Linked DNA regions of Arabidopsis thaliana. The protein of the gene in region 1 interacts with the protein of each later gene in a pairwise test. Each region holds a gene or a part of one and is shown in the gene's direction. Other genes may lie near its edges.

Region 1 (4,038 bases):
CCACACTTAATTGCTTCTTTTTAGTCTATGTTTTTTTTACAGTTCTTGTATGTTTTGCTTTGTTTGGATGCTGGTTTTTCACTCTGCGTAAATCGAAATTCGCTTCTTTTTTTCCATCAATTCTTTCATGTAAGCAAACATCTCTACTAGATTGATATTGTTCGCCATATTAAGTTCCAACTTTGGGATCAATTCTAAACTGCCTTTAGATTTATTTAAAACTCATGAAATATCTAATATATTGAACGGTTACAAACAGAAAATATCAAGGAAATTTCATAAGTACTAAATAACTAAATCTACTCAATTTCACCAAAATAATATACCTCAATTCAGTTGTAATATTTGACTTCGTTCATACTTTTTTTTATTCTAAAACATCATAAATCTCAATCGTAATTGGAATAATCTCCAATTCTCCATGTCATGATGATTAACATTTTTTTTTATCGAATTATAGTGAAGTAGCAAAAGTGAATCAGATGTTATAAAAGCCCACTCTAATAATGGTTGTAAATCAACCCAATTGAAAATAAATCCAAAGAAACTTTTTTGTTGAACCAAACAAATCGAAGTAGGAGCACATCAGGCCCACTATCTTGTAAGTCTATGTCTGAAGAGAAAACAGAGCACAACAACGAAGGACAAAGCAACCGAGGGATGGGCCAGTCACTAATGCAACAAACTCTGAAGCCCATTTATGAAGAAAAGCCCAAATGTTAATCTGTTATAAAGCCTCATATAAGCCCAATAATTAATTTTCTTCACAACGGCTCCACACAGTGAGTGTTGTACAAATGGCCAAAAGGTGCAATACGATTACTGAGATTGAGAGGCAACTTCCTGGAGCCAGGAATGCTCCATTGTACGTACCCTGGGCCTGATGCTATAATTATGTGTCGACATGTGTGGAACAAATGTCTGGTTAATAATTTTTAAATTAAAAACACACACAATTTTGTAATTAAACATCATTAAGCATGTGCTCAATAAATAGACACATGACACATGCTAAATGCTACATATATATGGCAAAAAAAACATCAACTAAATATTCAAAAATTCAAATCTTTAACAACCCCACAAAATTAAACTTTGTTTGAATCACACAAAATTTTAATTTCAATTTAAAATATATAATCCAAACCGTAAACTTAAGGTTATATACCACACAGATATAATTTGAGCTCTTAAACTTTGTGTAGTTAAAGATTGTAATTTAAAACTTTCTTTAATTCATTAAAAAAAACTATACAAAATCCTGTATGGTTAGATTTTTTTTTCTTCTACAAGTATGGTTAGATTCTGATTTCAAAATTTTGTGGAGCTATGTCTATAAGGCATGTGCATAAATACACACATGATACATGCATAACGCATAAAGGCTAAAGCTATAAGAAAATACTATAAACGTATGTGTCCTGAATTCAAAGATCTTATCTGAATCTTCTTACAACATACTATCAAATATAATAAAAGATTACAAAAGTTGCCAAACATTTGAATACGATGGCCTCATACTTAGAAATCAAACAGATGGCTGTTAGAAGCTTTTCCACGTTGGCCTACCAAAATGTTTAATCCTCCTCTTTGGTCCTTCTCATTACCTCATTTAGTCATTAACTTCCTCGTCCTTTAGCCTCCTCTTCGTTCATCGAACCTTCACACTTTTCATTTCTAAAGCAATCTCATTTATTAATAGTCGGCAACAAATCATTTATTAGTGTATAACTACTAGATTAGTTACCGTTTTTTCTTACACTATAGTTAAAACCAAAGCCGCCCAAATCTTTCAATTCCAATAACTTTTAGATACCTTATCGTTGTACTACGATTAGGATTAGTCATTTTCCATGATATATTATATAATGTGAACAAATTTACAGTCTGATGCAATTAACCACGTGCGTAATCAAACACTCACACAAGTTGCATTTTTTACGATATTATATAGGAGGAAAAAAAGAAAAAAAAAATCCATTTTAAGATAAGAATAAAACTAAATAAGGAAAAAGAAGGATAATTAGGTCATCTTCACCTTCCTCGTTGTCTCCTCACACTGTAAAAGACTTGAAACTCATATAAAATCTCAAGCTTCTATCTATTTCTTCTTTCATCATCATCATCATCACTCTCTCTTCTTCTTCTCTCTATTCCATGGCTTTAGTACGTGAACGTCGTCAGCTAAATCTCCGTCTTCCTCTTCCTCCAATCTCCGACCGCCGCTTCTCCACCTCTTCCTCCTCAGCCACCACCACCACCGTCGCTGGCTGTAACGGAATCTCCGCTTGTGATCTCGAGAAACTCAACGTTCTCGGATGCGGAAACGGCGGGATTGTTTACAAAGTCCGTCATAAAACCACATCGGAGATCTACGCTTTGAAAACAGTTAACGGCGACATGGATCCGATTTTCACAAGACAGTTGATGCGAGAGATGGAGATTCTCCGCCGTACAGATTCACCGTACGTCGTTAAGTGTCACGGAATCTTCGAGAAACCTGTCGTCGGTGAAGTATCGATTCTAATGGAGTATATGGACGGCGGAACCCTAGAATCACTACGCGGCGGTGTAACGGAGCAAAAACTCGCCGGATTCGCTAAACAGATCTTAAAAGGATTAAGCTATTTACACGCTCTTAAGATCGTTCATCGTGATATCAAACCGGCGAATCTTCTTCTCAATTCGAAAAACGAAGTTAAAATCGCTGATTTCGGAGTTAGTAAGATCTTAGTCCGATCATTAGATTCGTGTAATTCGTATGTTGGTACTTGTGCTTATATGAGTCCGGAGAGGTTTGATTCGGAATCTTCCGGTGGAAGCTCTGATATCTACGCCGGAGATATCTGGAGTTTCGGATTGATGATGCTTGAGCTTCTCGTTGGTCATTTTCCTTTGCTTCCGCCGGGACAGAGACCTGATTGGGCGACGTTGATGTGCGCGGTGTGTTTTGGAGAACCGCCGCGAGCGCCGGAGGGATGTTCTGAAGAGTTTAGGAGCTTCGTTGAGTGTTGTCTCCGTAAAGATTCGAGTAAGCGATGGACGGCGCCGCAGCTTCTTGCTCATCCTTTTCTCCGGGAAGATCTTTGATTCGATTCCTTTTGTAACAGAATCTGGAATCTTAAAAGTTGGAATATTAGATTTGAAATTATTTTAATTTTTGTAGAGTTTTCTGGAGATATTTATGATCGTGATTTTTGTACATATAATATACTCCAGAATGTTAGGGGAAAATCGTTCTTGTAAGAACCCTTAATTATTAAGATCATCAAATTATGTTCTTTTTCAATTCATTAATTCAATCAATCGTGTACATAAGTTTTGGGTTAATCTATATTAAATCAAAAAGTAATAGTCACTCGTGACAAGTGTAGTAGATATCTTATAGTATTATTGTAGAATGTTGAATCATAATCAATCATTTTATTTTATAGTTCATGTTTGTTGGCCCATTAGTCTCCATAATCTTAAAATAATTCACAATAAAAAAATTCTCTTTACCTAATACAAATAGATTTTGATTGTTGTTGATGAAAATAATTTTATTAATTATAATATCATTGTGTTTATTACAGATTCTCACCGTAAGTCAATGGCAATGCTCTTGAAAAAATATTATAAGTAATGTAAAGAATAATTGCAACGTAATGTACCCAAAACTACATATAGATCTAATCTTTTGAGTTTTTGATTATAGCAATGATTTAGTTATTTTCATTTTATCTTCGTGGAAAAACAAAAATTAAATAAAGCAAGTTAAGAAAAAAAAGAGGGTGGCGCAGTTGATGATGTTTTAATGAAAATCAAAATGTAGTTGCCAAAAACAAAAATATACTTACGCAAAGAAAATAATATTATTGATAAGGGTCACCCACTCACCACTTGGCACTTGCTTGCGCAACAATCTCGCTATGGATGTTCGTCGAAAATTCCGGTGGTTTTGTTTAGCAAGTGGAAGAATTTGATATTATTATTATTTCTTTGTTTTTTTGCTTACTAACTTACATCACTATAATTCTGAATAGATTATGAAATGAA
Region 2 (4,523 bases), on another chromosome or scaffold:
TCAACGTAGCACAATTAGTGTAGATCTTTAAAATTAAATCATCGAGCGAATTTTAGAATTCTCCCAAATAGTTGTTATCTGCAAATGTCATGTTATTTACAATTCTTGATACATAAAATAGTTAGTTTTCCATGTGGTAAAAACAATAAAACATACGACCAATCGACCATTGACATAACTCTTCTAAATCCACGATGAGTTATATATATAAACTTATAATACTAATCACAATTATTGTTATTGAGGAATATACATCGTGAGTATCATCAAATCTCGTCATCGCACTTTGCTTGAACGTGCAAGAAACTTGGAAACGCGTTTAGAGCAAACACCGGGACACCGAAGTACCGTTTATTGAATTCCTTTTTTTGTGTGTGTTGTTCAATACTTAAATCGACTAAAAAATCATTAGCCTAAGATTCACATATCAGAACGTGCTTGGGCCAAAAATAAAATAAAGAACGTGCATGGACCAACCAACCATATATATATCTTCATAGTATTATTGATAATGGCGGGTCCCATTATGTTTGATATATTTTCAGTTTTCACCATGGAAGCATAATCTCAAGAATATGCCTCCAATAAAATTCGTTTGTACATGAATTCCTTAAGTATGGCAGAATACTACGTATACCCCACATAATAGTTTAATCTAATTTAAATTAGTGTAAATTTTCCACCAATCAATTTATTAATTACTTAAAACAACAAAAGTAGTGAAAAACAATTAAAAACACATATCTCCCTCAAAATACCCATAGTAGGCTACAACTGTAGATTTCTTGTTTCACAAGACACAAGAAAAAAAAACCTAACTTAGAAATCATTAGAAGGAAGTGGTTCATGTCCATTACTACCGATAAAGATAGTATCATAAACAATAGCTGCAATGGCTGCACCGATAAAAGGACCAACCCAATAGACCCAATGATTCGTCCAAATCCAGCTAACCACGGCCGGACCAAATGAAACCGCGGGGTTCATCGATGCACCGTCGAAAGCACCACCAACCAGAATGTTAGCTCCAACGATTAACCCAATCGCCAAAGGCGCAATGATTCCAATATCACCTTTCTTGGGATCCACGGCAGTAGCGTAAACCGTGTAAACTAACCCAAACGTCATCACAATCTCGAAAACGACTGCGTTCCAGGGCGTCACTCCATATGATAGCGAAAACGCAGCCGTTTCCATCCCGCCAGTGCTTACCTTGAGCAACAAGCAAGCTACGACTGCTCCGAGTAATTGAGCGATCCAATAAAGAATAGCTCTCAACAACGTTATGTTTCCACCAATAAAAGCCCCAAATGTAACCGCCGGGTTCACATGACCACCTGAAACGTTAGCTCCAACGGAAACCGCAACGAACAACGCAAACGCATGAGACAAAGACGCGGCCACAAGACCGGCAGGTGTGGCTGGACCATCTCCAGTTAGTTTTCCATAAGCCATTCCAGAGCCTTGACCCGCGAAAACGAATATAACCATCGAGAAAAACTCCGCGAAAGCTGCTCTAATCGCATCGGGACGACTAGCTTCCCCCGGCGTTCCAATCGCAATTCTGTTGATAGGCATCGTTACAAAAAAATTTGCTTTCTTGCTTCCTCTTCATTTTGTTTTTCATCAGTAAAAGTTTAAATAGTTAAAGCGTTAGTGCCAAGTGTGTGTATGAGAATCGTTCAAGAGACTGAGATTAGTGTTTTACGGTGGGCCCTAGGTTATAAGAAATCGAACGGTGATTATAAATTCATATTTAATTAATAACTTACTTACCAATTAATTAAATCTTAATCCGTTTTTCTCGCTTTCTATAAATACTATTATGGGTAGCAATTGAAGAACACGCGCTTTACTGTTTTCTCATCATCGTCACTTTTCTTTCTCCACACTTTCCGCAAGATTGTTCTGTTCTTCAAACGATTCTAAGGTACGACTTTTTTTTTTGAAGGTTCTTGATCTCAACTTTTGTTGCGTATTGATGTTTGATCCTCTGGATTTTGTATCCAACGGAAGATCTATCGAGAAATGAACAAATTCGATACAAATTGTTAGTGTTTAGCTGAATTATGTAGATTTTGTTAACTTCGATCTTGAAGATGATTGATGTTTATCGTACTAGTAGAATCTGATGTTAAATCTTTGAGTGATGGATCGTGTTATCAGCATCAATAGTGAAAAGATTCTATATTGATTTAGACGTGAAGTCATGAAAATTGACTAACAAGATTCTAACGTTTGGTTCTGTTTTGCTCTGTTTTATTAGATGAATGGAGAAGAAGTGAAAACGAGTCAACCTCAGAAGAAGCTTCAGAACCCTACTCCACGTTTAAACGAGAGGATTCTCTCATCTTTGTCTAAGAGATCGGTTGCTGCACATCCATGGCATGATCTTGAAATCGGTAATAATCACTGTTTTAAAGATATTCTGTGTGTTTGATTAGAGTCTTTTTAACTAAATTGTTCTATGTGTGCAGGACCTGGAGCTCCAGTGATTTTCAATGTGGTAAAGTCTTTATGCTTGATGATGTGACAATCCGATCGAAAAAGAGTTAATCATTTGTCTTTTTTGGATGAAATTAGGTTATTGAGATCTCAAAGGGGAGCAAAGTCAAATATGAACTTGACAAAAAAACAGGTCTCATCAAGGTAAAAAGATATCAAATCTTGAAAAAACAGAATGATCTGAGGATATATGATGATCGTAAGTGTTTGTATATGTCTATCAGGTTGATAGGATTCTTTATTCTTCGGTTGTGTATCCTCACAACTACGGGTTTGTCCCACGCACACTATGTGAAGACAATGACCCTATAGATGTTTTAGTTATCATGCAGGTTTGAGTCTAATTCTAACAACATTCACCAAAAGAAAATGAAATGGCTGAAATAATTTCTTATCAAAGTTGATTATGTACAGGAGCCTGTGCTTCCGGGTTGTTTTCTTCGCGCCCGAGCTATTGGTTTAATGCCTATGATTGACCAGGTAACATCCTAAGCTTTAGTTTTTCATGTTTCCTTGTGCTTCAAGTTTGTGTAACCATTGTAGCTAATTCTTTGGGGTTTTGGTTGAAATAAAGGGTGAAAAAGATGACAAGATCATTGCAGTTTGTGTTGATGATCCTGAGTATAAGCACATCACTAACATCAATGAACTTCCTCCTCATCGTCTTTCTGAAATCCGTCGATTCTTTGAAGACTGTATCCTTAAAACCTATTTTAATACTTGATTAGGAAACAAAACCATTTCTTTTTTGCTATCTTTAACCAAAATATAACAGACAAGAAGAATGAGAACAAGGAAGTTGCAGTGAATGATTTTCTACAACCTGGTCCTGCTATTGAAGCCATTCAGTACTCAATGTAAACTTTTTTTTCTTTTTACCTTTTTTACATAATTTGCTTTTCTTTTAAGCAAATCTTGATGTTTGAAATCATTCACAGGGATCTTTACGCTGAGTACATTCTTCACACCCTGAGGAGATAGATGAAAAGAAGACTTCTTCAAGAACATTCCTGCCAATTTTTGGGTCTGCAATCTCAGATTCTGTTGCAGTGAATATGCAAAAGAACAAGAATTTGTCTTATATTTGGATTTTTTTTGAATAAGCACGTGTCTCATATTTGGCTTTGACGCTTTCCTTTTTGTTGTTGTTGTTGTTGTTGTCTTCTGGGGATGTTTTGTCTGAACATTAAGAGTTTGTATTTGTAACACTGCCTTTGGATCTTTTTTTAATAATTTCAAGCTTCGATTTGGTTCCAATGAAACCAGACTTTTGTTTTTATAAATAAGTGTCACTGTCATTTTTGAAGAGTCCCCATTCCACATTTTGTTTTCCTCTGAAATCCAAATCCCAATTAGATTTGCAGAATCAGAATGAGAAAATGTCAGGTGGTGGAGAACTTCTTTTTCTTTCTTTTGTCAGATAGTTGGATCTGCTGCTCACCCCAAAATGGGCCTGGCCCAGTATATATCAATACCAGTAAATTGGCGCGTGTATATCAATCTCCTTTTCACTAAAAAAACACTTAATACCAGAATATATTTTACCAAAAATCTTATTAGTTCTCTAGTTTTTTTTTTTTAAATCTAAATATAAGCGTAATACTTCATCCTTTTTTAATAAGTGATATTTAAAAAATTTATACATGTATATTATCTATTTTACACCTACATTCTATTAATTTTCAAAACAAAAGTAATAGGACTAAGCATTTATTGTAAGGTTGATTTTGAAAATAGTTAATAGTTTTACATGAAAAAATATTGAATATTATTTAAAGTGAAGCAAAATAATTTGGCTACATGTCACTTATTATAAATAAAAAAATACACATAACATTAGAGAATCAATCTTACTGAAACAAAAAAAATTGTGAAAGAGTAGATGGAAATAACATAGTATACTAAATACTAATGCTTATTTTTCTTCATATATCCACTCTATTACACCTACATGCTACCGTTGCAGCGAATTAAATGGATCAAACCAACTGCATGATAGATCAAACGTAATTTCAATG

Evidence for each region.
Region 2: the proteins of MKK9 (region 1) and PPa5 interact in a two-hybrid assay, tested with the Arabidopsis thaliana proteins (one large-scale study listed by BioGRID).

Annotation. Positions count from the first base shown.
Region 1 is NC_003070.9:27,638,471-27,642,508, reverse strand, and holds MKK9 (MAP kinase kinase 9), read left to right. Parts: upstream 1-1,865; 5' UTR 1,866-2,157; coding exon 2,158-3,090; 3' UTR 3,091-3,418; downstream 3,419-4,038. UniProt on the Arabidopsis thaliana protein: MKK9-MPK3/MPK6 module phosphorylates and activates EIN3, leading to the promotion of EIN3-mediated transcription in ethylene signaling. Autophosphorylates and also phosphorylates MPK3 and MPK6.
Region 2 is NC_003075.7:624,273-628,795, forward strand, and holds PPa5 (pyrophosphorylase 5), read left to right. Parts: upstream 1-1,796; 5' UTR 1,797-1,930; intron 1,931-1,947; exon of another isoform or gene 1,948-2,050; intron 2,051-2,266; coding exon 2,267-2,402; intron 2,403-2,477; coding exon 2,478-2,506; intron 2,507-2,583; coding exon 2,584-2,649; intron 2,650-2,729; coding exon 2,730-2,837; intron 2,838-2,919; coding exon 2,920-2,985; intron 2,986-3,079; coding exon 3,080-3,200; intron 3,201-3,280; coding exon 3,281-3,362; intron 3,363-3,443; coding exon 3,444-3,486; 3' UTR 3,487-3,798; downstream 3,799-4,523. Other genes in the region: TIP1;3 (tonoplast intrinsic protein 1;3), read right to left, coding at 820-1,578.